2 linked regions of the Lepisosteus oculatus genome follow. The protein of the gene in region 1 purifies or fractionates together with the protein of each later gene. This does not show direct contact. Links are inferred from orthologs where the notes say so. Each region holds a gene or a part of one and is shown in the gene's direction. Other genes may lie near its edges. The genes, in order: ulk3 and cdc37.

Region 1 (15,994 bases):
TCGGGGAAGGAGATGCCATAGAGGCGCTGGAGCGTCTCCATGTCGGCTCGCCCCTCCCAGTACGTGGATGAGTTCTAAAGGACAATAAACTTGAAATTATACTCATACACTGGTATATGGTAGAACGAAATTCTATTTAGCTCAGACAGTAAGTAATAGAAAAAAACAACAATACAATTGTGTAAGAAAAGAAAGACAGAGCCAACAGGTAATGTGCAAAATACCAGCTGTACGTCACAGAATGAAATAAAGGATAAGAAAATGATGGGGAGTGAACATCTTGACATGTGAGTTAGAGGTAGGTTTCAATGTGCGTTTGAGTTTTGATAAGGAGAGAAGGCACCATAAGGGTTCAGATCGTAGGCGAGAGAGGCTGGGAGTTTGATAGTTTGAAAGTGCGGGGGTAAAAACTGTCTCTGAGTCTGGTAGTCTGGGCCCGAACGCTCCAGTACCGTTTCCAGATGGTAGAGGGTTAAACAGGGTGTAGCTGGCGTGTGTGGGGATGATACTTGGAGTTTTCCTCAAGCACCATCGGTCATAAATGTCCTGGATGGATGGGAGAGCAACCCCAGTGATGGACTGGGCAGTTTTCACCACCCTCTGTAGGGCTTTGCGGTCAGCAATACTGCAGTTGCCACAGCACACTGTGATGCAACCTGTCAGTGTGCTTTCTGTATTGCATCTGTAAAAGTTAGTCAGGATCTGGGGAGGTATCTTAGTTAAAGAGCACAAGGGCAATATGCAGGACCTTCTCTCCAGCTCTGGCTGCATGCAAGGCTCAGGGTAACTTTGTTCCTTGTGCTCCTAAAGGCCCATTTAATGGTAAGTAAGGCAAGGTAATCAGACAGGATGATGTGTGCAGTGGTTTCAGTACCTAGGTCCCTCGATCAGACTGCTCTTTCACCTGGCCTGACAGAATTCAACCTGCCAACATCAGTAGTGCATCTGGTTCTGCTTGAGGGTTCAATTGCAAAGTTATTTTCAACCTCATTTACCTTAAAGGCACCTTTAAAAGGAGGGATTCAGACTTAGAGGAGTTCAGTTATGATCCTACAGATGGCAGCTTCCTACCATTGTCTCCTCAGCTGAGCCCAGCTCAGCCATAACCACAGCGTAACCCGCCGCCTGTGTTACATGTACTGAAGTAAGCCGCATGTCAGAAATGTTAGTCATCTAAAACTGCTAGGATCCTGAAAACTCTTTTCAGAGGGCAAAAGGTTTAGAGAATGCACAGCATAATAGTATCATTATAAAATTTTAAGCTGACTTACCGTTCTTGTCTAAAAACATCTTACTCTTTGTGAAATCAATAAAAACTGAAAGAAGCAGTGAAAAAGATGGCACAACTAAGCACTCCGCAGAGAACTTAGCTAAGCTGCGAGTGTTGGCGAGAGATGGTTGAGAAGGGAAGGCAGCATTTTATCCCATTTCTTCCCTCTCTCTGAGGTACTGTAGAGTAAACGGTACCTTATAGATCTTCAGGGCCTTGATCTTGCCAGTGTGTCTCACGTGTGGTCCTCGACAGAGATCGATCAGAGGCCCACACCTCCAGGAAGCAGCAGCAGACAACAGCAAGGTTAGCACACTGCCAAACTGCTGACTCACCCTTCAGATCAGTGCATCAGACATTTCCCTTCCAAGTATTTTCGGATTATCACAATCCTTATCGAACAAACTATGCAAGTAGTCAATTTTACTTTTCAAATCTCATATATACCTCCTCCTCATATTACACTATAACCTTCAAAACACAAGCCATCACTCGACGGTGGACAACTTGCGGCAAAATTCTGTGATGAGTGTCCAAAGCCAGTGGTAGCCAACATTAGCAGACACCAGATTTATACAGATAAGGCTTGCCTTGTCTCATCTGGACCAATTTAGGTTCTTCATCTTTAAAAAGACATAGAATCATACAAACTTTCTGCTAGACAAATGAGCAAGACTGAAAAGCATCACTGGTCAGGACTTCCCACTTCATCTGAATAAAACTGAGGCCTGACCTATCAGAATGATTCCCACTTAAGCAAAACTGGGTCCCTGCGTTCAGATCAAGTCCTTTTCTCTTGAAGTGGATACACTGGGGCTAACAAACAAGCAGTAAGGTGAGATTCAAAGATTAATTAAGTACTAGTAACTCCACATGGCAAAAAAGATTAAATTAAACTCAGATATGACTCTCAGATTGGTGCAGTCTGTCCCCAACCAATCTGTAGCTGTCACTTTGTGTCCACCCAAGCAGTAGTCCTCCCTCACACAGTGCACACAGATCAGCAGACAGGACCGCGCAGGTGAAATGGCATCTCTTACCGGTATACAGTAGTAGTAGGTGTGTTGACTTTCTCGTTCAAAATTCGGCACTTGAACTTGTTGTACTGCAATAAAAAAAGTCATTCCAGCATTATAAAACATATGTTTGGTAACTTTTGCTAAAAACGTTCTTTCAAAAAGTGGAATAATTCATTTCTAGTATTAAAGACGTGCTAAATCAGCATATGAACTTTAAAATACAATTAAGATGGTTTTAACTAGTTTGTAAACAAACGCGTACAGGTGACTCCTTAGCCATGTGTGCCAGCAGTAATATCCGGCAAAACAGCCAGGAGGGTATCAGCCCTTCCCAGGCAAAGGAAGAAGCTCTGCAGCACCTGTGGCCTCAGGGCTCACGTCAGGTGTGTCAGTACCAGAACATCAGTAATTTAGAGTTTACAACATCTGCTCTTGCCTTAAACATCTGCAGCAGCGTCTCCTTGCTGATCTCCAGCCGCTCAAAAGGCTGCTTCTCCTTCATCACCGACTTGCAGATGCCCTCCAGCTCGGTGAAGTCATGGCTCGACACACCTCTAGACAAACACGGGGGCACAGTCAGGGACCACCAGAGCAGCTGGAAACACGCAGCTCTGAAACCCACCAGATCAAAAACCATACATTCCACTCCAGAGCTCAATTCCTGCCGAGTACTTTCCAAACACCAAGTGTAGTATAATAGCTCAAGTGTAGCAATCCACTGCGAGGACAGGGAGTATGCAACAGCATTACTGCCTGACACAGAAGCACCCCTGTGCACGAGGTATTGAAGTGTACTTTGTTACAAAGCTGTGAGAAAGTCTGGAGGTGGCAAAGCTCTAACTGCATTCAGAGACATACTGTAGCTCAGGTCCTTTCCCCATGAACTCAGGAGCTGTTGAACTTGTTCCGTTTTCAAATGACAAGGTTACCAGGAGCCTCTTGATTCTGTAATCCAATTCTGTAATTATGTAATTCTTGATTTTGTTGACTGAGGTAAAGACAAGGGAAATACCACGTTACCCAGTAAAGGTGGGGCACTTCTGATCAAAGGAAAATGCAACCTGACTTGAGAACATGACCCCTGCTCTTGTGAAATGGGCTTCTCATGGCACATGTTCACAGCATTAAGGACAGGATCAAGCATTAATGTCTCGCCAGAATAAATCCTAAAGCATAGCACCTCCGTCAGCATTCAGGAGCTCCACCTGCCGGCCCACAAAGCCCCAACCAGCAGCAGCTGGATTTTCACATGATGACTTGCATTACAAGCACTGACCAGCTCCAGAGCTGACCTCCCGGTATCTGACCGGACAGGAACTGCAGAGCCTCACCGTCCGTCCAGGAACATGTCGTAATAGAAGCCGTTCTCGATGGGGGGTCCGTAGCACAGACAGCCCCCGTAGAAACGCTCCATCGCCTCTCCCATGATGTGAGCGCTGGAGTGCCAGTACACCTGAAACACAAGCAGTTTGAATAAAGCTGCACTTTAGGAGTTCAGCTTTATGTTACTTATTTTTCTCTGGTTTTTACATACTTTAAAGTCACAACATGCACAACCTATTGCTTAGTTTTCCAGAACAGACCTTCAAAGCTCACAGAGCCTCACTGAGGGAATAGCTTATCATTTCTATATTGAACTTTGTGGATAATAAGTGTCAAAAACTTACTCTAACCTGTACATTTTGAAAGATGTTTACTTACAGAATCGATAAAACATACTCCAGAAAACCTAAACCCCGAAGTGAAATGATCAATTGACAACATCCAGAGAAGAGAAGCTCCACACAACACGTTCATTACGATCAACACAAAAGTTCACGAAAAACACATGATCAGGACTGATGATCTTTAGCACATTTTCATATCACTCCAAGAAACACCGTCAGAACTGGCAACAAAACCTGCAGTGAATATTTTAACTGTCAGAATATCTGGCTTCTTCACAGTGATCCAGTTGCTAAATGACCACTGGGAATTCGAGGACGTACAGAGAGAGAGCGGGGGACTCACAGCCTGGGCATCCTCGTGGTCAAAGCGCAGCAGCTCCAGGGAACAGTCCGTCTCCAAGGGTCTGTCCAGGTCCCACAGCTCTCCGTTCACCCGTGCGATCACTGCACTGTCAGCCAGGCCCTGACTGCGAGGGAAACACCGTCAGCCCCCGAGACAGAGGTGCACCACACCCCACTGCACTCCATCAAACCCCCAGGACAGAGGCACCCCACACCATCAACACCCAGCCCTGGACAGAGGCACCCCACACCATCAACACCCAGCCCTGGACAGAGGCATCCCACACCCCAATACACTCCATCAATCCCAGAGACAGAGGCACCCCACACCCCACTACACTCCATCAATCCCAGAGACAGAGGCACCCCACACCATCAACCCCCCCATGAGACAGAAGCACACCCAGCAACACTCCATCAACCCCAGAGACAGAGGTGCCCCACACCCCACCACCCTCTCCATCATCCCCCAAGACAGAGACACCCCACACGCTGCTCAATGAGCTCTCTGAACCACAGCTTTTACAAAAGACTCTTCTCATTAGACAAAGAGTACTTGTACAAGTGACAATGGACCGAGCGATATCCTGTGGGCAAGGAGCCCCTGCCTGCGGCCGCAGCCCTGCCCCTCACCTGATGCCACAGGCCACGTGGTAGGGGCTGCTCTCCCAGCTGCGGGCCTCCACGCGCCGCCCGTCCGGCAGCTGCACCCGGACAGGCCGGCTCTCGGCGGCAGCTCTGCGGGCCAGCAGGGCATCGCTCTCCCGCTTCAGCTGCTCGTACAGCTGCAGCCGCTCCTGGACGTAGCTCGGCCAGAGGGGCAGCTGGGACAGCGGGGAGACAGGAGAGCTCCTTCACCGGGTTTACCAAGACCACGTTCGGAAGGCAGGGCCCACATGAACACAAGACCAGGGAACAGTCAGACTGGGCTGTTTTAAAGCCGGTAGAGGGGAAGACTTTGCTAATGCGTCACTGATTGCTGGTTGCTCTCGCACTCCTCGCTTCTTTTGTTTTCCGATCTGAGGAGTCTGTGATTTCTTCTGTTGGCCGTGTCAGTTTCTCACTATTGGAGAAATGTGCTGTTGACTTCGAGAGCCCCGTGCGGCTTAAGCTGAAGCACTAGATTTGCGTCTCGGTCAGGAGCCAGGCTGACAAGGTGCGGCGGGCAGAGTTACCTCTCCGGATGGCTGCTCGCCCCTGGAGTTCTCCTGCTCCTCTTTCCTCGTCCCCTGAGCACTGCGGGAGTCGGAGCTGCCCAGCTGACAGGCAGAAACCAAGAGTCAGACAGCTGCTTCTTTAAGAACGTACATCTGACTGCACAAATGAACTTCTACACCAGTTTAAATGAAGAATTAGATTGTTACTACGCTTCAGAAAATTTCAAATCATGTTCTATATTTCATCTTTGTTTAAAATTAACCCCAGTTAATTTTTAAAGTCTAGATTTAGAGATAAACCTATTGCACTAGTAACGTGTTAATCATACATCTAGGATAAACTCAGAAATACCCATTTAAAGTCACTGTGGAGCAATATTACAATTAATTTAACATAACGCTAGATGAATTTTAGTTCAGCACTCTTCAATGCAGTCTGTTTTGGTGTGATCAAACCTTAGAATCAGCAATCGACACTTCCTGACTGGCGCCCACCTGCGTGAACCCGAGACTTACCAGGCCAGGAGGGGTGCTGACTCCACTCCTGGGGGCCTGACACCCACACTGTCAAGAGGGGCTCTCAGGCATTGCAAGCCCAGAGCCCCACACACTCCAGCTCCCTCATGATCCTAGACTCTGGAGCGCTGAACCCCCAGTAGTAGGTCCCCAAAACACCCCCACACCCAGCAGTGTCTGGCCAGCCGTGCGTCGTCACTGGTAAGGGCACAGGCTGCTTCATCTGCAGTATGAGGACTGGGGTACGTTCTAAACCCAGTACAGGGGTCACAATGCAGGTAAGCTTGCCGTGGTGCTTTGAGATGCACGTTCACTTACAGAATGCCTTCGGCTTTGGAGATGGTGGTGAAATAAAAAGCACAGAGCTCACAAAGGATCATACAGAAACAGGGTAGATCTGATGGAAGCCATTTGCTCTGATTGAAGGTGACATATGGCACTGAGAGCATACAGCAGCTGAACTGTCGTACAGCGAGCCAGGCAACGTCACCAGCAAGGGACTGAAGACCAGATGCAGCTTCCTCACATGGGCTTGAAACTTTTGCTCCACCACTAGTGAGAATTATTTAATTTCTGACACGACAGCTATCATACCATTTCCCGCCTGACCGTGTCACGGTGTCTCCATACACTAATATGATCATGTCGTGCCTGCCTCAGCAAAGAGGAGTCTTCAGAACGCCTGTAACCAGACCCATGACTGCACGATGCACTGCCTTAAAGGGAAGAGCTGCTCAGGGCTGTGCAATCAGACAGTAACACATCTTTCAGGCACAGTAGATTCGGAGTTAAATTCCCCGGTACCTCTCTGCTGCTGCTCTTCCCAGCTCTCGTCTCTTTCCCCTCCTCGCCCTCCCGAGCGCCCGTCTCCGGGTCGGACTCGGACTGCAGGCTCCTCCGGAGATGCAGGATCCGGTACCGCAGCTTCTCGTTCTCGCTCCGCAGGGTCTCCAGCTCCGGGCTGCTGCAGAGGCCGGCCACGGCCGCGGGGTCTCCGCCGACCCCACCGCGCAGCCAGGACACCTCCTGGGTCAGCAGGCGGACCTGCTCCTCCTGCGCGGCCAGGCGTGCTACCATAGACTCCGCCATCTTTAAATCCCGGCTTCTTCCCTCTTCCACGGCTTTAATACAGCTGGCAGCAGCGCCACTGCGCGGAAACAGGCTTGTAGCGCCCCCTGCTGGCTCCCGTGAGCAGCACATTGGGATTAGGCGCTGCTTGGTTAAACCGTAAGGAAATCTAAACTCAGCATATGGGCAGAGTTAAATTTCCCTCGCTTGGTATTTTTAAAAACATTTAAAAACATTATCCATAAAGCTTCAGTATTACTATACTACTGTTATTGCTGCTTCTATTAATTCTATCATTACTACAACCACCACTAAAACTACAGTATACTGCAGTAATTGGAGCATACCTCACTTCTCTTCTTCAGTAAGCGGCGATGCAGGTACTGAGCCGATGCAGGATCTCACCGCCAGGGGGAAGCACCGATTTCGTCCGTAACTAAAATCGCGGTGACGTTGTACAGTGTACAGTATGGAAACAGAGCTAGAAATGCACATTGAGCAGGTGTGGAAGTAAGTCTGCAGAAAAAACATAAGTGATCGCCCTGAGCACACTGTTTTAGTCCCCCTAGTATACAGATTTAGACTAGTGCACGTATTGAGGTTTACGAGGCTCAAAACGGTTCGGAAACTATTGTTCTATACCTTTATTTAAAACCATCGGGTCACTTTACATAGCCGCTGGAAACACGTTACTTACTGGAAAATGTTAGGTTTAGATGCACTGCATACATCGCTGCTCTGCCCATAAAAGATCTGGCATTTTCAATCGCATTAAATTGCCATTTAACTCTAATTTTCTTTCGGATCTGTGACGACGCGCTATTGGTGCATGTAATTCCCAGAGCGCTTTCAACAAGGAAGTAGGTGCATGTCGAGTCAGCCCGGCTCCAGAGTGGGGAGGATGAGCAGCTCCGCGGCCCCAAGCCTGTCCGCCTCCTGAGCCGAGCTCCGCCGTCCCACTGCCGGCATGGCTGCGGGCTTCGCTCCCCCGAAACTGTCCGAGTTCATCCTGACCGAGAGGCTGGGCAGCGGGACCTACGCCGCTGTGTACAAGGCGTACAGGAAGGTGAGTTCTCCGCGGCTCTGCCGTGCACAGAGCTTCCGAGGAATACCGACATTGCGCTCGCAGTTTCCCCACTTTGATAAGACACTTTGGATTCTGATAGCAGTAATAACATTCATTTTGATTATTGCAAAATATGGCCGTCAGAAACCAGAGTTCCTGTTGAAAAGCTTCGATATGGACTCGGCAGTGTGAAAAATCACCATTCCTTCGCTTCAACCACCAGTATCGGTGTTGTGTTTGCAAATATAGGCGGCACATACACAGCTATACAGTGGCCTGTAGGACTGCAGATAACGTGAGTCTGTGTTTTTCATGAACGGGTGGTTTCGCATAAGCACACTGAACTTGGCTGGTGATTTTTGAAGCTGTGTTTTACAAATATATGTAAGTTGAACATTCACAGTGTAAAAATACAATTTGTAGGACTGCACTTTGTTTTTACTGTGATATTTCTTTCCAAGAACCAAGTGGTTCCAGTGAGTCCAGCCTTGTAAAACTTACATGTATGATCTCTGACTAATGGAGACAGATACACTTGTGTCACATACGCTGTTGGACCCAGGATTCAGTTCTGTATCTCCCAAGCCCTTCCCTGCTCCTGACACTGCCCCACCACCAGAGGGCAGGGATGCTGTTGAGAGTCCTGTCTCTGGAAAACTCTCCTACTCCTACTACTCTCCTGCTGCTACACGTGGAGACTGGGTACACTTCCTGATGTGCTCCAGGGTGCAGGAGCAGGTGAAAAGTAAGCTCAGGGGTGGGGCAGTCATGATGCAGGGGCATGGTGGGATCTGGACTTGAGGACAAGCTGGACTCACAGTGACTGTCTCGCAGAAGGACAGCAGGGAGGTGGTGGCTGTGAAAGTGGTGGGGAAGAAGAGTCTGAACAAGGCATCCACGGAGAACCTGCTGACGGAAATCGAGATCCTCAAGACTGTGCGGCACCCCCACATTGTCCAGCTCAAGGACTTCCAGGTACCCCATCTGCACCACTCGGAGCCACACACACAGCCCTTTTCTGAAGGTCTTGCAGACACTTTCCTGAGGGACAAAGCGTACTGCTCTGTTGAAGTAGTTCAGCTGGGTAGCTGTGTCAGCACCGCGTAGGCTGCAAAGGAACAAGTAATAGGTGTATTCAATGCTGAAAAGAGAAGAAAGAAACCACAACATTTCGGCTGTGGAGTAAGGTTACACCCGAAGAAGGCACAACAGCCTAAACGTTTTGTTTTCTTTCTTCTCTTTTCAGCATGGAATAAACCTATTACTTGTTCCTGTACTGCCCTGTTGTCTCCAGAGATGTAATGACCTGAGTTGTTGTGCGCTTTTTAAAAACATGTTGCGGATGATGCAGAAAGGAAACACTGTGTGTCTCCAGGGTGCTGTTCGCCACAAGCTGTGTGGCATCACTGACTAGGGCAGGACTCTGTACAGCGCTTGTGAGAGTCTGAGGGCTGCACTGAGGGGAGCAGTCTGGCTCCTGCTGCCAAGCTGTGAGACGTGTCTGCAAGGCCTTAAAGCAAAGATGTACTGTTAGAGTAGAGGAAGCCACCTGGCATATTTATCATGTGAGTTCCAGATGCCTGTTGGTCTGGAAGCCTTACAGTATCATGACAGTTTTTCTAAAGAGGCCAAAGTCTCTGAGCTTTCTAAAACTGTAATTCATGCTCACTGAGTGGGGGGAGTAGTGAAAGGCACTTTTCCACCTGTTAAACCTCATGTACCTGTAGCGATGTTTGTTCTAGTGCAATAAGGCCAGCTTGCCTTTACACAAACCTTTTCAGCTTGAGGTCCAGATTTATTATTGAAGTTCAAGCAGGTAGCTGCATCAGCATGCGTAGACTGTAAAGGAACAGGTAACGGTTTATTCCATGCGGAATGGGAAAGAAAAGAGATGTCGCAGCTGTGGGGCCTTCTTCAGGTATAAGGTAAACCAGCAGTTACTGAAGCATGGGAGGAGATACTTCGAACAGTTAAGGGGCGTTAGAGGTGAAATATGGAACTATAGGTTTGGAGAGATCTTTGATCCTCACAGTCCTGACGTGTTCCCTGAAACAGTTTCCCAGTCTCCTTCCTGTCTCACCAATGTAAATAGCTGGGCTTATTCTGCAAGAGATGCAGTCAGTTAGGTTGCTGGATATATACAATGTCATCTTGGTGATCTAATATTGTCCAGATTTATTATTGTCACTCCATTGCCAGTCAGGTGACCTATAAACACAAGTATGAAAGTAAGTAATTGCTTTATCTCGAGAGGAAGCCTTTAGCTTTGATGGGTACTGTACATTGTAAATGTTTTCCTGGGACAAGGCACACATGTCTAGGGGCTCCTGAGCTGTAGACAGGAGTTTCAGCAGACTGGACTGGGGTTCCACTGTGGCCACGGACAGAAAATGGATGTTGCTTCCTTAAACATTTATGACACCAAATTCAAGGAGGTTTTTGACTTCTGGACTTATTCTGAAGTAAACCAGTAGTTGCAAATAAAAGTATCATTTCAAATTTAACAGAACCCCTTGAAAGCCGAAGAAAGACAGGTGGTTGTGTGCTCTTTATGTTATTAGCCGCCGCTGTCCTCAGGGCGCTCTCCTGGTGGGGGGCGGTGGACTGATGATGCTTGTCTTGGCTGCAGTGGGACAGTGAGAATATCTACCTGATCATGGAGTGGTGCTCTGGGGGCGACCTGTCTCGCTTCATTCGCAGTCGCCACATGCTGCCGGAGAGGGTGGCCCGCCGCTTCCTGCAGCAGCTCGGTGAGTCCTGCCGCTTCCTGCTCCTGCTTGACCAACCCCCTGCTGGCCCTGTCCTGGGTTTGTAGGCTGTGTTCTTACGCTGTCGCCCAGTAAGTGTGTGGCTCAGCTGTTGGGAGTGTGGTCGACCGGAGCCCTGACTCTGCTGTGTTGCGCGTCTGCAGCCTGCGCCCTGCAGTTTCTCCATGAGCGGAACATCAGCCACCTGGACCTCAAGCCTCAGAACATCCTGCTGAGTGGCAGCGTCCTCAAGCTGGCAGGTACAGTCTGACCACAGCTTCCTGCTCACAGCCCCTGCAGGCCGGGGGTCCGAATTCAGCCCTGCTCTTACAGGACACCTGTGTGTGGCGTCGGAGGAAATTGTGGACAGAGCTGAGTTTGGTGAAGTACTCCTGATGTCGGGACAGCAGCACAGGATAGCAGGTGTTATAAAAGTGCTGTTCATTAGAAAGTCATGATGATTTTGCAGCTATTTTAAAGTGTTCCCTCTGAAACAAACTCAGATTGAATAGAAATGCACAAGAGAGAAGAGCTGCATTTTCTGATCTGGAAAAACCTGTTTACTCCCTTCAAAGCGCTCACGTTTGCATATTCCAGTGGGTGTCCTGATCAGTAGGCAGTAGTTTACACTGTATGGGCCCTTCAGGGCCTCGTGTGGAGCGCCCCCTCACCGCCCCTGTGTCCGTGTGCAGACTTCGGCTTCGCCCAGTACATGTCTCCCTGGGACGAGAAGCACGTGCTGCGCGGGTCCCCCCTCTACATGGCTCCGGAGATGGTGTGCAGGCGGCAGTACGACGCCCGAGTCGACCTCTGGTCTGTGGGGGTCATCCTGTACGGTGAGGGGGCTCTGGGGGGCTCCGGTCGCGCTGCGCCGCGCTGCACACGCTGTGGGTCCCCCGTTCTCCGGGGCTCCGCAGGGAGCGACTTCGTTTGCACCTTTGCCTGGCTGGGGAGGCCGGACAGAACTTCCCAGTACCTCTCGCTGTGCCAAGAGGAGCCCTGTGACGTCTGCAGTCTAGTTTCTGTGACGCTTACAGGAAATGTAATGCAGGCTGTACGAAAGGGCATCTGGACTGGGGGTATTTACTTTCTTTACGGAAGGCTTATGAGGTCATGTTCAAGATGCCACATCACTACATGGCCTGAAGTTTATGAATACATCTGAGTTAATCTGTTTATTTCTGTGGGCCATCCCCCTGCTGGTACCCCACAGCGCTGCCTTGTCGCAGGCGAATGTGTCTGGGTGCCTTCAGCCTTATTCTGGTCTTATTCTGGATTCCTGAAATCAGTCAGTTTCAAACCCTTTTAGTGCCTAAGGAAGGTTACTGATGAAAGGAGACAGTTTCACCCTTTCTGCTGATTCAGCTGCTAAAAGGTCATTCATCTAAGGCTCTTGTACAAGCCTCTGATCTGCTAGCAGTCAAAATCTCAGTATTTATTAGCTTTTAATTAGGTTGCATACATTCAATTGTACTGAACTTTGAGATTTATCTATGAAAAATGCACTTATCGATACAATTTATTAAGTACTTATTTAAATCTTTCTTTTTTGTTTTTCAATTGGCCTGCTACACCTCGATACTCTCTGTATCTTATTACATGCCAGCATGGTTCTGCAGCCCTGCGGTGTTCTGGGACATCGACTGCTTCTGCCACCTGCCTCAAGGCTCACCTGGCATGCGGCGATGTCCCATGGCACCGTGCGTTCTGCTGCGCCGCCTAAGACCCAGTCTGTGTCGTTGCCCCCTGTGTGTGTTCAGAGGCCCTGTTCGGCCGGCCCCCTTTCGCCTCGCGGTCCTACACTGAGCTGGAGGAGAAGATCCGCAGCGACTGGCCCATCGAGGTGAGACACACCTGCCACGGGAGCAGGAGCGAGAGTGTCCCTCTGTGTCGATGTGTTCGCGACGCTGCCCTCCGGCAAGCACAGTGCCCGCAGCGGGAAGCAGAGGCAATGACAAACATCTGATGTATCGCCAGTGGACCCTGTTTCGTCCTTCACAGTCCCACATCTGTTGAAAGCCAAGCCACACCCTCAGTGTCCTGACGCCAGCGCGCGTGGTGGAGGTGGTGGAGGTGTCCTTGAGGCTGCTGCCTGCCTGCCTGATGCAATTCCTTGCAGCCAGAGAAATGCTTTTTCACTCTCTGATAGCTGCTGGACAGGGCATTTCTCTAGCAGCCTCAAGGACACAGCTCAGAGTTAATAATAATCAGAATTCCAATAGTTTTCTCAAAGCACTTTACCTAGAGGGGACCCCAGTCACCCACCAGTGAGGTGCGGCCCCACTGCACAGATCAGGCAGAGAAGTGAGAAACTGATTCATCATTCAGATTAAGGAAGTTCAGGAATGACAGATTCTACAAGTCTAAGGTGAAATGTAGTCAGAACACCAAGGTTGGCACCCTTGTTTTTACAAACGGCTGTGTCTTCTTGAATGACAAAGCCATAGCCACAACCTCCCGGCCAACCTCGAGTAACCCAGCGAGTCCGCTCTGTCTGAACCAGTCTGTTGTGACAGCTGGACTGCAGCTCTGGAAATGGATGTTTACACACCATTCAGTGTTGCCAAAGATTTTGGAGCTAGAGATGAAGCGTGATCAAATATTTAAAGACCTTGTGTGTATTGGATTTGTGTTTTGGGGAAAAGAGTGGAAAGAGCCATAAGGAAGAGAGGAGGAGAGTTCTTCACCACTAGAGGGCAGCCTGCGCAAGCTTAGTCCAGTTTGTCAAAGCATCTCTTCCAAGTCTTTGTTCCTGCTAAACCACGCAAAGAATTATAGTGTTAGAGAGCAAATCTTATAGTGTTGCAACCCCATGCCATATGTTTTACCATAGAAAAACTATGATAAAGAAAATAATACAGAAAAGAATGTAAAGTTTCTTGAAGTGAATACATGAACACGTCATGTGCAGGTATTCTGTACTGATGTAATGATACTCACATTTCATATTATAATTTGACCACAGTCTTTTAAGTCTATTAAGTTTATTTAGTCCTCTTGAATACTTGATAATATGACTGTTGTCCCGTCTGCTCATGGGAAAAGTCTTTCTTTTCACAGAATCTTATTGTAAAAAAAAAATCGGATCTATTGTATGCCTGCTCGAAGGGCCTGAAAAAAAAACTTAACAGCTTTTCTTTTATTGTTTTTTAGCCAAGTCTGTGTCTGATTGAAACTAAAATCATAACTGTCCGGGTTTTTGTGGACATTGTGGTTAAAATGTGGGTTTAAAAACCTCCAAGAACTCCAAGAATTCCAAGAACTGTGGACATGAACTTGGCAACCAAAAGAAACTTCCCACTGTATCTTTGGTCTGAGAGGAGAAAAATGACCAGGGAGCCTTTTAGATCAAAACATGATTATCTCCCCCCCAGATTTGTGGTCCTCAGCACTGGATCTGGCCTTGACTTATTTCTCCTTTCCCTCAGCACTCAGTTCTCAATCCGGGGAGCAGTAAGCCCCTAACTAAGGCTCGAGTTACAAGAGCAGTTTTCTCCCCGGCTCGGCTGAGAGGGTGCAGGAGTGTGGCGCAGTGCCTGGCTCTTTCAGCTGGAGGTGCAGCTCTCCCTGGGACAGGCGCCTGCTCAGACTGTCTGGGAATTTGCTTCCCCTTGTAAAGACAGACAGGAAGAGAGCCAGACAGCCCAGGTGGGAGGATGAGGGGAGAATGGAGGAGGGTGGTGTTGAGATATTTTTGGGGGCGCCCCCGTTTCTCTGTGCCTGTGCATCAGCAGGTGCAGTGTCCAGCCCCTGGTCAGAGGAGTGGCCAGGCTGCCGGCTGAGACACCAGAGTTCACACGGCACAGGCACAGCTCCGGGAAAAACAGTTGTCGCAGTAAGAGCTGGAGACCGAGAGGGAGGCCCCCAGTTTGTGCCTTTGCTCCGTCTGTAATTACCAGTAGGTTTTCTTCACATTACTGTCTTGGTTGTGCTGAATATTGTCACTCGGATGTAGTTGTTTTAGTTATGAGGAATCATGTTTCACGTGAGATTTAAATTAACTTGTGCTGTTTTTTTTCTGGAAGGTTTTTCTTTCATACTTTTGTCTCGTGATGCAAAACCCCCTTTTGTTCAGGATTCAACAGTATGCTAGTAACAGAGTCACGCTAACAGTGATGTGATTGTAAATGAGTGTCCGGGCTGTCTGTGCAGGGCAACGCATCGTTCAGGTTGGTCACTGAGACAAAGATAGAAATGGTCCCGGGTTCAGCGGCCTCCAAACTGCTTCCCGCCTCACCAGCACATTTTATCCACATAGATCTCCTAGAGTCAAGGTCTCTATAAACTGCGGATAATGGGCACTGAGCTGCGATTAGAGCTCACATTACGGCTTCGAGATGCTTCCAAAGGGATTTTTGTGTGACTGCATGAAGCTCAGTAAGAGGAGAGTGAAGTGCCCTTGTACAGTGTATGTTTTCTAAAACAGCTGGTCTAGCAGGACGCCTGTTTTAGATCATGCTGAACTCCAGGGGGCTTTGGAAAGCTTGACTACACAACACCAGTATGTGTTCATAGGAAATTACAAGGATAATTGATGGAAAAAACGAATTCACATTGCTCGAAATTTTTTCACGTCTTAAGAATGGGAAATTAATAAAATTCTGGTTCTGAAAGCAACAAAAGCAAAAGTAAGTAGGAACGGCTGGGGAGTTTAAAGAAAGGCTGTTTCATCAGTAAAGAAGCGAGGAGCCCGCGCTGCCTGGTTCTCTGCAGGGCTGAGGCATTGATTTTGACAGGATGTGTGGATAATGGTGGGTGAGCTGCTGATTAAAGGGGAGGTGTTGGTGCAAGCGCTGCTGGGGAAACTGGGGTCCCCCTGGCCAGGCCTCTGTCTCCTGTGTTGCAGCTGCCGCCGGGGGCGCGCGTGTCCCGGGACTGCCGAGACCTGCTGCTCCGCCTGCTGGACAGAGACCCCGACAGCCGCCTCTCCTTCTCCGCGTTCTTCGCCCACCCCTTCGTCGACCTGGAGCACATGCCCAGCGCGGAGAGCCTGGGGAGAGCTGTGAGTCCCGGGGGCCCTGGGGCTCGGACCCGTCCTCCAGGCCGCTCCCTTGACCTTGAGGGGGTCTGCGCGGCTCCCCCGAGCAGGGGTGGCGATTTCAGGCTTGGCGAGTTTCCACCAATGAATAACCATTCAATTCC
Region 2 (16,618 bases), on another chromosome or scaffold:
ATGCACTTCGCAAGATATCAGTAAAGCAAGCAGGTTTACAACACAGGGGGAACAAATGTGGTTTCAGATGTAGATATACAATAGGACTATAGTACAAGGCACTGTAAGGATATGATACATCCATTTAGAATACAAAATAATCAGTTCAAATGTTGCTGCAAAATCAAACTTTACTGTGAATGCATACTTTTCTCTAATAAGATATTATAAATGGGTTTAACAACAGTAAAATATTGTATTTACCAGCCCCCATTGAATGAATTCAATGAATTCGAGTTTAATATGAAAGGTTTCAGCTGTGAAACCGGCCCCCTGCTGGAGGGCAGCGCAGTTGCCCTGGCATACCAGTCCTGGCGGGAATCGCCATTTTAGTCTTTCGCTAACATCCATATAGCCAACGCCGCGAACAATCTGTTTTCTTCGGTAATCGTCAGTTTAATAAAACAAAATTATTACAGGGGTCCAAAGAAATGTAACTCAAGTTTCCAAGGGACGTTTTAAGCAGGTGAGTCATTACATCACCCAACGAACCAAAACACGTTGAAAACAATATCGTGGCTATGAAAAATAACGATTCATACAATACACAAACACATATGATAGTAGAAAAGAATGGTCTTACTGTGTGAAACAGATTATTTTCAGGATTATTATTTCCCCTTGTTAGTTTCTTTAACGGTCACTTCTCGCGCCTCACTTGCCACACCCCGCGTGCACCTTCCTCGTGCGTCATCATCCCCTTCCGGCCTAGTCACCTGAAAATGTGTCCTGGTTTGGTGATGTTACCGTTCGTGACGCCGATTGAATAAGACTGTAAGTGCTGGTAAAATTCCTACTGTACGTAACAACCTGCCCACTAACCTCAGTGATGATGACGAGTCCGCGATTACGTCACGCGATTAGAAGGTGTGGTCCGTGCCGTTTGGTCGCTCCGTTACTTTTGTCTATCATAGTTGCTGGACTGGAGTATCCCTGCAGATAAATGGGTTTAAATTCACTTTTAGACCCCCAGATACAATCAAAAGCACAGCAGGCTACAATAAGTTCCTTCCATGAGCATGGAAGACTGTGGCTTCATGTTAGTCCCAGCTCTGCTGACTGTGACTGTGAAAGCCATCATCTCAAAGCGCTCTTTATTTCTTATTTCTGAATAAGCCATGTTGACACACCAATGGTAATGGCCATATGATTTTTTAAATATTTTTCATTCAGTTTTTGGCACAATTGTATTTTTGCAGCTTGTGTCAATTGCCCTGGATAAGAACACCCACTTAACAAAGAGCAACAACACTAACACTTGTTGGCAATGGGGTACTGCCATCCAAGAATCCACAGACTGGGTGTTAATAATAATAATTGCTTACACTTCTATAGCGCATTTCTGGACACTCCACTCAAAGCACTTTACATGTAATTGGAACTCCCCTCCACCACCACCACTGCGCAGCATCCACCTGGATTATTACTGTTGTGGTGATAAAACGCCGCGCACGACACAGAGCAGGCACAAACACCTTTGTACTTGTCTGGTGCCTTGGCCATCATCAGGGCCTATTGAAGGTTTTCCTGCAGAAATCTCATGGTTGATTTCCTGGTCTGTGGGGAGAAACTGCAGTTTTGGAAGTCAGCTTACTTGTGGCTTCATGAGAGGGTTTTTTATTGTTAAGCATATGTGCTTCACAGGGCTAAGAGCAGATATGCTGAGGCACTGGGGGCTTGATTAAGACAATTGCTCCATTCATCAGAATGATTATTACCCCAATCTGGTGTTTTGTCTGCTAAAGCTACATCAGATAAGAGCCACACCTATGGCTTTCCATGTTCCTGCTGTTAAGATGCATTAGCAGGATATACAAAATATGTAGACAAATAATGAAATCTACAGTAGATGATAACAAACATTACAGATATGTTTTTCATATAGATACAGGATAGTTAACCATCATTTCTTTGTTATTAGTATAGATTTCATGATTTATTGAGTAGTTAAAGGAAAATTACCTCTTGGTACTGATAATTAGAAAGCAGGTGTTATAAGCTTAATAGGCTTGAACTCAAGGGCATTTCCGACAGACTGTCCTCCTTTAATTGGCTGTGTAAGTCAAGGGCAATACTAACAGACTGTCCCTGTTTAACCAGCTGTGTGTATTTACTGTCGTGAGTGGCACTCAGGTTTCTCAAATCTGTCCATCTTTCCATTGTCTTGGGAATCTGTGCCTTTTATTAGGGAAGGTTTTACATTCGAAACCGATGGTAAAACAAAAACAATCTTCTAGGTCAGTGCTATTCATTTCTGGTCCTGGAGGCTCACGGTTCATCAGATTTTATGGGTAACATAATCCTCGGTGAGTAAAGACTTGGAAACAGTGGTAATATAGACCAATTAAATGAACAATTGATTCAGATGAAGTCATTAAGAGTCCAGGGTGGAATAAAAACCTGAAGAAACAGTGTCCCTACAGGACCAGGAGTGAATATCAGCACTCTTTCAAGAAGCCAAAGAAAGAAAGACTGAGAAAACGTTGCACCCAGGTTGTGTCTTTTTCAGGTGTACATAGTCTCTGGCATAAGCCGAGGGATTTTAAAAGCTTTAACATTTGTATTGTCCACAGATAATTTGAACATTTCACTCTTCTGCGTGGCGCTGCAAGCTTTGGCCAGCGAGACAGGCAAGGTAATGTGTCCTAACGGGAACATCTTCAACAGACAGGTAGATATAAATTTAACAGCAAACTGAACAGCCACATAAAATCCGCCCAATCACGAGAGCACACCTTCTTCTCCATTATGTGTTTTGCCTTCCACCCCACCAGCAAACTCTTGAGTCCTCCTGCAATACCTGTCTCGGGAAGCACCGGTATAGATCAGAAAATACTGAAACCAGTTTCCCCTTCTCTCTTTCGGTGCCTCCAACGTCCATTTATTCACCCCCTGGGAAGTGCACTCTGATGGCTTTGGGCACATGAGTCATTCCTCTGCAGTCTCTGCAGGAAGAAGGAAAAACGAGAGTCCATCCAGACTGTGGTGGGCCAGCCCTCCTACCCACCTCACAGACATGGCTGTGCAGGCAGGGAAGTTGGAGGGAATCGGTTCTACTGTTGCCTGGCCACAGGTTTGCTGGGCCTGTTGCTGAACGGTGTATCTGCACTTGTAAGCCTCCGAAAAGGGGCAAGATGTCCATCACCACGCCAGGTCGCAAGCTGTTTATCCCTTGAACTCCGGTTTCCTCAATAAGATGAATTTAGAGCACACAATTTATTCTGGTGCCTTGTCTTTCTCTCTACACGTTTGAAATCCCTAATCCCAGCACACTCGCACAACTGAATCCCCGAAGGAAGAGAGAAGGAGGGTAATGAAAGAGAGAAATGCCAAGGGGAGAGAATTAGGACCTGTCGAGGCTAGGGAGGGATGGCTCTCTGGTGGGAATTAACTTGGCTTTCTGAGCACATGGGGGGAAGGCTGTGTCTCATTACTCTCGGCTTCTGCACACTGCTGCTATCAAAGAGGCTGAGAGGGATTTTGAGATGGAAGATAGAAAAACCTTTAGCACACACAGTTCTCTTTCAAATTATCCAGCTTTACCGTTACTGCAGCTAAATGCATTTGTTCTTCTTCAAGATATTAAATCCGCAGACAAAGGAAAGTTCTTAAACATTCAAATAAGAGTAATTTTATTATTTTGTCTGATCTAGAGCAGGACTTTCTGTTTTAAATCCTCAGATTCCCACACACTCTCTGGTTTGGTTTTTGTTCTTCTCATTTAATTAATTGAACCTTTAAATGAGCTTTATTGGAACCATGGTGCCTTCAAAGGATTTCATTGCACCTCTGCTTTTATGGTCCTGAATGATGTCATTATTGGCCATCGTCGGACCAATTAAAAGACTTCTCCCAGCTGTTGAAGTGCTGGTGCCTCAAAGAGACCAAACTTGCACGAGCAGAACCAGAGCCTCCTTGATCTATAACAAAACAGAACAACTTTGTAATTCTGGCCCTGGTGACAATAGTGTCTAGACTTTCAATTTCTTCATTCAACAAATAATTTGACTTTTTAATAATTAAATTGATCCTTTTGAAAATCGTTTTCTGTGACTAAAAATATTATATTTTCAAGTTATTTAATGAATGTTTAGTTGTACAATTATTTGACTTTTATTATTATTATTAAACTAAAATTAATATTGATGATGATTCAATTACAATGCAGAATAATTAATAACCTGATAGTGCCCTCTGCTGGTAACAAACCAAACTACAACTTTAAATTAAAACTGGGGTGCTATCTGCAGGAGGTTTGTGTGTTCTCCCTGTGTTTGCGTGCATTTCCTCCAGGTGCTCCGGGTTTCTCTCACAGTCCAAAAACATACTGATCTTCTGTGAAAATCAGCCCTGTGTGTCTGTGTATCTGCCCTATGACTGACCTTCATCCCGTCCAGGGTGTATCCTTGCTGGGATAGACTCCAGCTCCCCCACAAACCCTGGATAAAGGGGCTAGAAAATGGGTGGAAGGAATTTATATCAAGGCCTATTCATGAGGAACTCAGGTGGACGTGCATTCCAAACTGAGAACAGAACAGGTGGTGAGAGTTTGAAACCATCTACCCAGCCATGTATTTGATTCCGATACCCTGATTTATGTTTTTCAGGAATCAGCTGAATAAAATCTTTGGATGAATTAACTGCTAACTACCAAATGGACTAGATGGGCTTGGAACTTCTGTACTTTCCAGTTGTGGCCTCTGCCTGATATTTCAAATATTGATTCTAAGTAAGTCCATTGGGTTGAGCATGTCAAATTCTTGTTAGGATTTCGGGTAATTGAATCAGTTCCCCTTTGTACAGAGAACAAAGAATTAATTCAGTAAATCCTATAATGTATCTGGTTGCTCTTTTCTGGATTGGTTCCAGAACAGCAGTATATTTTTTCTAATGTGGTGACTAAAATGGTACACAGCATTCTAAATGAGGTTTTACATAAAAAACTTTGCTTTAAATTTTCCACTTAACTATACATCACAAAAATTCTGATTGTGTTTTTTATTACTGCCCCACAACATATATGATGTGTCTGATAATGGATGGATGAGAGAAGCAGATTTGGGCTCTTGAGTTCTAATTGCATGTGATTAGCATTCCTGTCACTTCAAGGCAAATTGTTATTTGTGAGCCTCCCTAGGTGTGACTCATCATTTTAATTGGATTTCTGCTTTTTGTGTATTCTAAAGACTTTTCTATTCCGGGCAGAGCGTTGGCAACACAAATACATTTTATTTGCCTTTCAGTTCTGTTCATTCTAGTCCATAATGGGAAAAAAAATCAGCTTTCTCTGGAAAGGAAAATGCAACTCTTGCTTAACATCTGTGAGAAAAAAGTGTAGGTGGGTATCTGCGTCAGCATGCATAGGCTGCAACGGAACAAGTAAAGGTTTATTCCATTCTGATAAGAGAAGAAAGAAAACACAACGTTTCGGCTGTGGAGCCTTCTTCGGGTGTGAGGTTTACTTTCATGTGGCAGGGCTCCTTTGCACAGACATCCTCGGTTCATGTTAGTATGACAGAAACTGAGCATAACCACATTGACGGTGCCTGCGTTATATAACTCTTAATGCCTACAGAGGGCACATGAAAGATGAGCTGGCTTCTAACTAAATACAATGCAACCTGCAGTTAAATCTCTCTCTCTGCACCCCAGATGCCACAAAATAAATGGGAGCCTATATCCCTATCCATAAAAATGCACCCTTAACAGGAAAGATGTTTCTAACTGAGGTATCTTTTAACCTGAAACCCAAGTTCCCTAAAAACCCTGAATAGCAAGCCCTCTCTAACAAGGTCAAATACTTACTGTAGCTCCAGCCAGGTTTGATTTGGATGGGAAGAGGCCCAACGAGTCTCCCTCTACGAAGTAGGGGCTCTCACTTGGCGCAACTTCAAGTCCCAACTCCTCCGGACTCCTCTCTGTTCCCTGCTTCTTGTTTCTTCCTCTTTCTCCCCTCTCTGTGCTCTTGTGATCTTATATTGTGTGTGTCTGTACTGCTTCTTGAAAATCATTAATCCACAAGGTACCTAGGTATACTAAGGTCGACTTTACAGTTGTTTCTGTTCAAGGGACCCCCCCAGACCGCAGCAAACATCCTCTGGGCTTTGAAGTTAGAAGTGTTTACTCTTCCAAGTGTTACAAACTTTATCTAAAATCTAAGAGACACTTCTCAGTCATCTAAAGCTCTAGCAATATTGTAACGCTACACATGGTTCACATGGGCACCCTCACCACTGCCACATCAGGTCAGCCCCCCACCGTCAGGGACTCAAACCCAGGCCTCCGGCATCACTCAACAGGGACCCAGCCTCTTGAGCCAAAGGGAAATCTCCCATCAGCCCAGCGGCTGCAGTCCCTGCTATTCACAGGGAAGGGCAGTGACATCACCGCTCTGGTAAGCCAGCTCTCACAAGCAATGGAGGCCGTATGCGTTACAATATGCACAGTATAGTTATTCCTGTCTGTGTCTAGGATGTTGAAGACTTGTGCACAGCAATTTACACAGCTGTGAGTCCAGTTGTGATGACGGCGTGTTTTCTGTTTTTTATATTTGGAAGCAAGTTGCAGAACTCAGCATTTCTTTAAACCCAGAATTTCCCGCTGTGCCCAAGTTTGGTCCATTGCCAATATGTATTGTTGGTAATGAAGGACGAATTAAAACTGGAACGTGTCTGGAGACGCTTCCAGATTCTAGAACACGGCGCTCCTCAGGCGTCTGAGGGAGGAGTGGGGTTTGTGCCTGGAAACGCCATTACCAAATAGTAGTTTTTCACAATGCCCATCCTTCCGTTTTCTAACTGCTTCTTCCAATTCAGGGTCGGGGGGAGCTGGAGTCTCTCCCAGCAAGGCAGGCTGCACTGGGGACGAAACGCCACTCCATTGCAGGCCACACACAGCACACACACACTCGCACCAGGGCCACTTTTCCAGAAGCCAGTTAAACTGCCAGCATGTCTTTGGACTGGAGCGCCTGCAGGAAGCCCGTGGGAACATGAGGAGAGCGTGCAAACTCACTGCTCCACCGTGGCGCCCATCACAATAGCCAGCGAAGTGTAGAAACAACCAACTTTATTCAATCCGTTTAAAAGCCGCCATCTCAAAGTGCTTGTAAGATGCCAAAAGAAGAGAGACAGTTTTTTATCAAGCTCAGTGTCCCCCTAGCCAAAGTGGGACTCGGGTTTGGAAATTCTGGTCCACCGACAGCAGAAGAGCGACTGTAATGTTTGTTCTTTTGTTAAGCATAAATAAAATTTAAAAAAAGAAAACAACTGAGATTGACATTATAGTCTGAAAACAAGACTGTAGCACAATGTCAGTTAAAAATGAAATAGTCCACTTTAATATAAAATGAATTTTGTGGATATCAACCCTAGACTTATGTTTAACAGATTATTTTCCAGTTGGAGTTAATCATGTTTTTAATGTGTAGTGCTGAATTTAATTTGGAACAAAATATTTTCTTCATACCTATAGTATAATCTCTTGCCGTACGGATGTCCGGCCGCCTGCTGCCCGGGTGGGCGCAGCCATATTTGCATGGTCTTTTCCAGACTCGAGCCACAAAGGGGGAGGGACGTCGACGCTAGAGAGCCGCTCCTGCTGCTCCGCCGCGAGCAACAGAGCGGCGCTTCACCGATTTCTCGAAGGGGCGCGAGAGAGGGGAGGCTCCGGGGCCGTACGGAAGTGACGTTCCACACTTCAAACGGAAGCAAAAGAGATTTCGAGAAAGATTCAGAGGCAAGGCGAGTGACGGGTTGGAGGTAGATCGGAGTGTTCTTGGGGTGTTTTTTTTTAAAGATTGCTTCAAAATTTAGATCACCGGGCCAATAAGTGTTGAGGTTTTTGTTTGTGTGCTGTATTTCTTATCTTTTAGAGTTCATTCACGCGCCGGGCTGTCCGTGCTTGATCCGACCTCGCAGCGAAGATGACAACTATAGACTACAGCGTGTGGGATCACATTGAAGTATCTGATGATGAAGACGACACTCACCCCAACATCGATACCCCCAGCCTGTTCCGTTGGAGGCACCAGGTGAATTAAATAATCGGGCCTGACACAATGAATCGCGATGGCGTTTGCAGGGCACATAAGCATGTCTGTGAACGTAGAATTTTACTAGGGGCCGGGGGAGCTTTCTGTTAGGGGCTCACTAATCCACCGCCCACGACTGCAAAAAGTACTGGAGTAACAAGGCAGTTCATTTTATTTTATAATATTTAAAATGCCTACTCCTAAGAGCTTGCCTTGATTCGTGCACGGTACTTTGTGGTGCACCAATAACAAAGACCCGACGATGTGTTTTTGCAAAAAGGCGGTACTTCAAGCACTCCTCAAGTCTTCCCAACACGTTTTGGAATACATCCCCCCCGGGGTCTGCGCTGTTTGTGCTCAGTTGATGCTGTTAATGCGCGTATGTGGTTCTGGGGGTGCTGTCAGCCACAGTTGCTGGGTGTGAGAGGGCAGGAACCAGGCTTTGCACGGCCTCTCGGCTGCTGGTGGGACCTGCCTGCTTTCGGAAGGGGGCTGCTGTGCCAGGAGTGCTCTGATCCCGGCGGAATGCGACTTCCCTCGAACAGCTGTGCTCTTTCTAGCCCGCTGGTGCCGGCCCTCCCGCCCACACTGGGGGGATTAACCCCTGGCTGCTTCACTCTCGGTTGATTTTACTTTTAACTACATGTTTAGCATCCCGGCCCTTTGACAGGAGGGAAGTAATTGCGATAATTAATGACGCAAAGGGGAGGGCATTAGAAACTAGAAAGGAAGGTGGGAGGAAGAAAAACAGCGGAAAAGGAAGTTGCATGGGGAATATAGATCAATGGAGAGCCAAAGGGAAAAACATATCAAATGATCAGGTATTTAAGTGCTTATATCTAAATGCTAGGAGTAGGGGAAACCAAGTAGAGGAGAGAGAGAAGCTACCACGTTAGCAGGCAGTTGTGAAGTTATTTTAATCACAGAGACCTGGGTGCCTGAGAATGATGGAGAGAAATGTAACATTAGTGGAGACACTCCACTCTGTTCCAGAGAGGCAGGAAAGATGAAGGAGGGGAGGGGCTGTAGCTGTATAGATAAAACGTTTTCAGCTTCAGGAAGCTCGAGTCTCTGGATCTGTGTGGGACAGGCTCATTAACGGAACATTCCAAATGTACAGGGTTCGGAGTAAGATATAGACCAGCAGATGCTGATTATAATTTGGCACTGTGTAATAAAGAAATGTGCATAAGAAGCAGTTTTAATGGGAGACTTTTTCCAAGGCAAAGACGAATAGGATTATCAATGGCAGAATCTCTCACCCACTTCGCCAGTGCATCTGCAAGGAGGTGCTTGTATAGATCTCGCCTCATCAAAGTCAGGACAGGCTAACAGAAACAGATGAGTGCACCACCAGCGTGGTGTGCACAATATATTGTGCTGTGAAGTGTTTTTGTGTGCGTTACAGACTGAGTGCCAAAGCGCAAAGTATTACAATTTCCAGGAAGCAGAAATTTAAGAAATGGACTTTTAAGGAGGCGGAAGTGAAATAAAATGGGTTTCTTACCAATTGTTAGCCATGGAAATGAGACATTATTGAGAATACACTGATGCAGCCCTTCAAGAATCGTGTAATACGGTGGTTGTACCCAGGAACTGGAGAAGTGTTAACTGGTGTGGACAAAAAGTGAATACTCAAACTGGGGTGGTGTAATAGGTACCAGAGAGAACTGTACCAGGATGATTGCTTTTCTTAATTTATACAGATTAAAGGCCTTGTCACTGCAGAATACAGTAAAATAGACCAGCTGTGTTTTCTCTTTCTGTTGGGGGCTGCCGTTTCCCTGTGAGGCACAGCTTCGGAAATGGCTCCCCTGCCTCTTACTCAGCCCTCCTTCCCCGATTAGGCCAGGGTGGAGCGCATGGAGCAGTTCCAGAAGAAGCGGGAAGAGATGGAGAAGGGGCTGACGGAGTCCAAGCGGAAGACGGCGGAGCTGCAGAAGAAGATCCGGGAGCTGGAGATCTCGGGCACGGACGACGCCAAGGCGGAGCTGCCGAAGCTGCAGGCCGAGGAGCAGCAGCTGAGGAAGGAGGAGAAGAAGTGGGAGAAGAAGCTGGACGAGCACCGCAGGGAGGAGAAGAAGCAGCCCTGGAATGTGGACACCCTCAGCAGGGAGGGCTTCAGCAAGGTTAGTGTGTGTGTGTCCTCCCCAACACCGCCACTGCCAAAAACCAGTCCAACAAGTTTAGTTTTGTGCAGGCCGCCGGCCCGGGTTTCATGGGGTAGAGCCTCGATCGCGTTTGTAACAGGCAGTGACTGAGATGAGTGCTGGCGTGCTGCCGGCTGAGCACTGCTGGGGTTATGGTTCAGATGAGTGGGCCAGGGTCAGCTCTACCAAATGGCAGCTATTGCCACATCCTGGGTGCCTGCTGGTTTTGTAGTGACACCAGCAAGGGCCAGAACTCTGTTTCATGCAGATGCCAGAAGGTCGGAGGAGCAACACTGCCCTTTCTTATTTGCCTTCTTTTGGTATTGGGATTATTGCATGGGGTTATTGGGAGCTGTAATGAAATGCTGAGCCAGTTAAAACTGGGTGGGTATTACGATGGGAACGTATAATACAAGTGTAACAAAACAAGAAGATAGAAAATGGTTCCTGATGAGCAGTGGCCATTTGGCACATCTTGCTGGTTTGATTGATACTTAGCAGCCTTATAGACCAAAGACGCAGGGCAGCACATGGGCAAGGGAGATTAGCACAGCTGTGAGGGTCTGGGGTTCGATTCTGTGTGGAGTTTGCATTCTCCTCCCATGTTTTCACCCCACCTCCTGAAGACATGAAGTTGAGGTTTGGTTGGCTGCTCAGAATGCCCCCAAGCCTCTAGGTGTATTTCCAGATTCATGAGGAAGCTGGTCTCCTCACCTTGTTACTTTGGTGCATCTCTCCCCATTACCAGATCTGGTGAAGTGTACAGATCCGGGGATCTAAAAATGACCTAAAAATCTCACGCAGTTCCTTATTTAAGGAATCCAGGGAGTAAACCTCAAGAACCTAAAGCCGAAAACGGAATAATTCCCACACTGCAAAGAGTGTCAAGTAAAAAGTAAGTCGAAGGATCTATGTGTCTTTAGTCTTGAGTCAAAGAGGTTATTCAGAATTATTCACAGGACACAGGTGCGCATTCAGAAGTCCGATTTCAGAATAAGGACACAGTGATTTACAAAAAGAGCCATGGAAACTGGGATAAAACAAACTCAGCTGTGTTTTTGAATTCCCTAATTCCCTGTTTTTTTAAGAAAATGGACACAGGGTTTTTAAACTTCAAAGACCAAATGTTCTTTTGTGACTGTTTTTACGTGGGAAGGGCTTAGATGGAGTTTTTTAAGTGTGCACAGTAAAGCCCAGTCTGTCCTAAAGAAGGGGGCTTTGGCCTGACCGCACTATCCCTCTCCTCAGAGTGTGCTCAACGTCAAGCCGGAGCATAAGGAGGAGACGGAGGAGGAGAAGGAGCAGAAGCACAAGACCTTCGTGGAGAAGTACGAGAAACAGATCAAACACTTTGGTAAGCTGGGGGATTTGTTCAGCACCATGTGGTACTGCGTGCACTAAGGGAATGGGAGATCTAGACCAGTTTATAAGCCTACTATATCATAAGTTCTACCTGTAAAGTGCAGTTCTTGTATGTTTTCTGTATTTACTCAAGGCAAATTAGATGACACCCAGTGCAGTTGGCCTCTGTAGAAGAGCCTGCCTCTCAGAATTCTTATTGACAGTCTTGTTGTAAAAGCAACAGGTTTGGCCTTTGCAGCAGTCTTTTCTGTTGTCCTGTCCTCTGGTTCCTGTTGTACGTCTGCGTGGGTATGGATGTTGAGCGTGCTATCAGACAGGGTGCTAACAGCCACGGTTGTGCTCAGGTATGCTACGGCGCTGGGATGACAGTCAGAAGTACCTGTCAGATAACCCCCACCTGGTGTGCGAAGAGACGGCCAACTACCTCGTCATCATGTGCATTGACCTGGAGGTGGAGGAGGTAAGCATCACCTGCCTGACCTCAGTCCAGCTGTGGCCAAATGGGGAGGGGGGTGGGGGGGCATGCCTCTGGAATTGGTCTCACCCGAGTCCTGGTCAAGATGTCCATGTATTTTGTAACCCCTTCTTTCAGTTCAGGGTCACAGGGGAGCTGGAGCATATCCCAACAGAAAACGGGAACAAGGCAAGACACCCCATGGACAGGACACCTGTCCACTGCAGGGTGGATGGACTCTGACACAGACACAAAAACACTCATGCTAGCGCCAGTTTTCCCAGAAGCCAGTTAACCTACTAGCATGTCTTTGGACTGTGGGGAATAAGTGGAGCACCCAGAGGAAACTCACACAAACACAGGCAGAACATATCAACTCCACACAGTGGCTGAGATGTATCCTAGAAAACTCATAAGGGGTGAAAATGGCACCCTGTTGTACAGCAGCCTGTTGTATTCTTGGTATGACAGTGTGCAGGCTCTTGTATAGATTGTACTGTTGAAGGAGCAAAACATTGGGCCTAAATCTATGGAGCAAAGAATGAAATATCAGTCCCTCAGTTAAGCCTTTAGCTAGGAGCCCCCAAAAGGGAAAACCTGAAATGGACTGACCTGCCATAGAGTGGGAGTTGGTCTCCCTTCCTCATGTATGGCAAACCGGATTGAAAGTTAAAGCTGCCCCCTCAGTAGACTGGGAGTGTTCCTGACAGCAACAATGCTCAGTCATTCCAGCTGGATCAGCACACACTTCTGTCCATGTGAACTTGACAGAAACGTCTCACTGTCACGTAGACAATTCTCATCATGAAGAAAATTGTAAGAACCGGCAATTTTTCATTGAATCCCTCTACAGTTTTTGAGAGCAGTTTGACTTGAGTTAGTAGGTTCTTCTGGTGTCCAAGGCCTGGACGTTCCTGAAGACTTTAGTTTTCCCCTGCTTAAAAAGCTGCCAGCGGCAGTGATATTGGTGAGACCTTCGTCCCGCAGGGTGCTGTGCTGTCCAGATCTGAGTCCTCCATGGGATTACGTATTACACATGATGTTCTTGGTATCTTTTTCACGCCTCCGGACGATTCAGTATTTCTCCTTCCTCTTGTTCCCTGTCTGGAGTTGAATGCATTCTTTCGGCAAGTTGGAATCCTTTGAACGATTGTCCAGAATTCCCAAGTGCACACAGTATCTTGCAGATGCACCCGGAAATCTTGTTTTGGCATTTTTCTGACTTAAGTTAGTTTGAAATTCCATCCATCCATTTAGTAACCACCTTCACGGGTCACGGGGGGGGCTGGAGCCCATTTTGGCAAGCAACAGGCCAAAGACAGGACACCAGTGCACACATTTAAAATATCAGAACATTTTAGGTATCTGAAACAGGACTGAGGCTGCAGTGAAATGGCACATGAAGACCGTCTTCACAATCCACAGGTGACTCAGAGAAGTGAAACTGCCACAGCTTGTGAAACCTGCAGTTTCAGCATAGCCGTCATCCTTGGTTCAGAAGCAGTCCAATCTGGACCTTCCAGGTTATTGTGGTGCAGGGTTTTGTTGCAGCCTTATAAGCCCATCAGCAAGAAACAAATCGATGAAAAGGGAGCTGGATCTCCCAGTCAGAGGTGTAGATTGGGAGGTGTGGTACTCGACCTCTTCTCTGCAGGCTCTGTAGCATCAGCACGGTCACTGAAGATTTACTCATGTCCTGTGTGTGTGGGGGGTCTCTCTGCAGAAACACGCACTGATGGAGCAGGTTGCCCACCAGACCATAGTGATGCAGTTCATCCTGGAGCTAGCCAAGAGCCTGAAGGTGGACCCCAGGGGCTGCTTCCGGCAGTTCTTCACCAAGATCAAGGTGGGCCCTCTAGCAGCTCTTCTGCACCCCGATGTGCTGCTGGTACCAGTGCAGGGTGAACAGAGGTGTACTGACTCATAGCATCCGGCAGGCTCTTTTTCTGCTTTGTGCTGTTTGTGAAGGTACAGCGATGTCAACAGAGATGTCGTAGGCTTATTGCTGCCTCATAAGCACTATAAATTGCTTACAAGCACTAGACATTGTGGAGATGTAATGACTTCCCCTTGGGGAAAGACTGTTTGTCTGTGTCTTGTGGGGGGGGGACGCCTGTGAGAGCCGTCACTAACGGAAAAGCCGCATCTCTCGCAGACGGCCGACCAGCAGTACCAGGACGCCTTCAACGACGAGCTGGAGGCCTTCAAGGAGCGCGTGCGGGGCCGGGCGAAGATCCGGATCGAGAAGGCCATGAAGGAGTTCGAGGAGGAGGAGCGGCAGAAGCGCCTGGGCCCCGGGGGGCTCGACCCTGTCGAGGTCTACGACACGCTCCCACTGGTGCGTGTCTCCTGCTCTCCGTCGTTTCCCACAGTTCAATGGGTTCTTGCAGGGCGGGGCTGTAAAAGCTTGTGAGGGCGGACCTTAAGGGTGCCGTTTCAGTTTAATAACACCGCTAACTAAATGGTAGAAGAGAGGCCTGTTAAGCAAGTGACGTGTCCTGCAGCTCCCTCCAGAATTGGCGGGGCTGTTGTCCTCCAGGGCACCAGGCTCTAAACGGGGGGCTGACAGAAAATGCAATTCTCCGGCACCCTAGTGTGATTTATGGGCTTACACAACAAGAGGAGATGAGAGGCTTGAAAAAATAATGTACTTTGTGTTGTTTTTAAATATAATTGGAAAAAACAATGCTTAAGAAATGAAGTGCTTTTTGTTTTTTTCAAAGCCCCTGCTCTTTTGGAAAATGAATAGCAAATGGAGAGTCGTTAAACGTTTAAGGCCAGCTCATTTCGGCAGGAGCAGAGATGAACACATGCCCTGTGCTTATTGGTGGATGGTTGTGGAGCTGTATCCAAGATTTTCAAATGGATTCTCATTTCAATTCCGCAGGAGATGCAGAAGTGCTTTGATGAGAAGGACATACAGCTGTTGCAAGACGTCATCAGCAAAATGGATCCGACGGTAACGTTTCTGTCTTGCCCCCGGTTCATCTGTGTATATCAGGGGTTTCTTCTGGTTTCACATGGGTACAGTCACTGTTGGATGAACCCTTGTCTACAGGTCTAAGGCTTCAGGCAGATGAAATTATGGTGGTTTACACCTCTGCTTAACGGAGATTGGTTGACTCCAGATAAATGTAAATATGCTGTGGAATTAACGAGCACTGTCCTTAAAGAGCACATGCATCCATGAGGTAGCCAGTTTAGGAACCACCTTTAAGTGAAAAGCACTTAAATAAATGCAATTAATGAACAGGCAAAATGAGATTGACATAGATTGCATTATGTGCTGTTTTTCCAGCTATTGAGAATTAGGGAAGAGTCTTCAAAAGACTCTTCCCGTATTTGCACTTTCCTGAAGCAGAGAGAACTGTTCTGGATTCCACAACACACCTGCATATGCCATTTAAATTGTGTCCTTCTCTGGCAGCATCGGCAGCAGGCCCTGCGCGCAGTGCACCGCCAGTGCCCTGGCCACAGCTCTGGGAGCTCAGAAAATGGGGACTAATTAAACAATGTGAATCAAAGAATTTTAGGACCAGATGATCATGGTTTCCTCGCTAGCAATATGAATCCTGCCTGTGTCTCTTTGTCTGAACACTAACCCCCCTCCCCCCGTCTCTCTCAACAGGAAGCCAAGCACCACATGCAGAGATGCATCGACTCCGGGCTGTGGGTGCCCAACTCCAGGACAGAGGGAGCGGAGAAGGCGGAAGAAGAGGAGCCGGTGTACGAGGAGGCGAAAAAGGAGGCGGAAGAGGAAAAGAAATAAGGAAGAGACTCGGCCAACACTGAACTGCCCCTTCCCCCGGCACCCTTTATTTTTCTACAACCCTAGACGTGCCCCTTCACCCCATCCCTCCTCAGGTCGCGCCCTGCTCTGCGGCCTCCTCGCCGTCGTGTGTGCGTGCGGACCCCGCCCCGCCCCGCCCCGCCCCCTGCCTGTCGTTCCCACCTGAAAGAGAAGCTGCTGGCTGTCCTGGCACACTGGGAGAAGGTTGGCTTTTGCCAGGTAGAAAAAGCACTGTGGTAAGGAGTTGCCCTCCTGCCGAGGACCAGCCATTGTGGAGGAAATCCTAAAGCCGTATTTTTTAGGTTTTTATTTTGCTCATTGGCGTTTGTTTGTTTGTTTGTTTGTTTGTTTGTTTTCCCTCTGCCATCGAGTCCAAAGCCCGGTGCTCTCCTCTGAGCGATCTCGGTGTGTGTTTGGCGTGCTGGTGGCTTTGGGGAGCGGGTCTGAGAGCTGGCAAGAGGCAGCTGCAGTTGTGGCTCTTTCCCGGGCTTGTGCTCAGACACTTTGAGCCATTCCAGGTCCTCCTGCAGCCTGCAGCCCCTTGTATTTAAAGGGCTGGGCAGCTCCGGTGTTGGAGGTGCGGCAGGGTTTGAGCACCACCTCCGATCTCCGTTGCTTCGGTCGACTAATTGGAAAAATCAATTTGCCCCTTTTCTTCACTTTCTTTCCTATTTGACAAAGGGCATAGGAAAACCTGCATGATACGTGAGCCATGAGTAGGGGAATATATCAAATTAATGTTTTAGCTTAATGGACTCGTACTGCTTTCTGCCCCGTCAGAACGGTTTATA

What was found.
Region 2: the proteins of ulk3 (region 1) and cdc37 purify together in Homo sapiens (affinity purification with mass spectrometry; 3 studies listed by BioGRID and IntAct, with this or other methods). This does not show direct contact. The link is inferred for Lepisosteus oculatus from reciprocal best matches to the Homo sapiens genes ULK3 and CDC37.

Annotation. Positions count from the first base shown.
Region 1 is NC_090700.1:56,475,531-56,491,524, forward strand, and holds the start of ulk3 (serine/threonine-protein kinase ULK3), read left to right. Parts: upstream 1-7,487; 5' UTR 7,488-7,549; intron 7,550-7,881; 5' UTR 7,882-8,006; coding exon 8,007-8,105; intron 8,106-8,939; coding exon 8,940-9,080; intron 9,081-10,734; coding exon 10,735-10,855; intron 10,856-11,016; coding exon 11,017-11,112; intron 11,113-11,544; coding exon 11,545-11,688; intron 11,689-12,612; coding exon 12,613-12,695; intron 12,696-15,698; coding exon 15,699-15,854; intron 15,855-15,994. Other genes in the region: tars3 (threonine--tRNA ligase 1, cytoplasmic), read right to left, coding at 1-74, 1,468-1,546, 2,311-2,375, 2,726-2,843, 3,621-3,742, 4,300-4,423, 4,932-5,122, 5,474-5,557 and 1 more. UniProt on the Homo sapiens protein: Serine/threonine protein kinase that acts as a regulator of Sonic hedgehog (SHH) signaling and autophagy.
Region 2 is NC_090706.1:15,643,863-15,660,480, reverse strand, and holds the start of cdc37 (hsp90 co-chaperone Cdc37), read left to right. Parts: upstream 1-7,688; 5' UTR 7,689-7,781; exon of another isoform or gene 7,782-7,799; intron 7,800-7,912; 5' UTR 7,913-7,963; coding exon 7,964-8,071; intron 8,072-9,918; coding exon 9,919-10,200; intron 10,201-11,469; coding exon 11,470-11,575; intron 11,576-11,927; coding exon 11,928-12,043; intron 12,044-13,760; coding exon 13,761-13,883; intron 13,884-14,192; coding exon 14,193-14,375; intron 14,376-14,924; coding exon 14,925-14,996; intron 14,997-15,665; coding exon 15,666-15,806; 3' UTR 15,807-16,618. UniProt on the Homo sapiens protein: Co-chaperone that binds to numerous kinases and promotes their interaction with the Hsp90 complex, resulting in stabilization and promotion of their activity. Inhibits HSP90AA1 ATPase activity.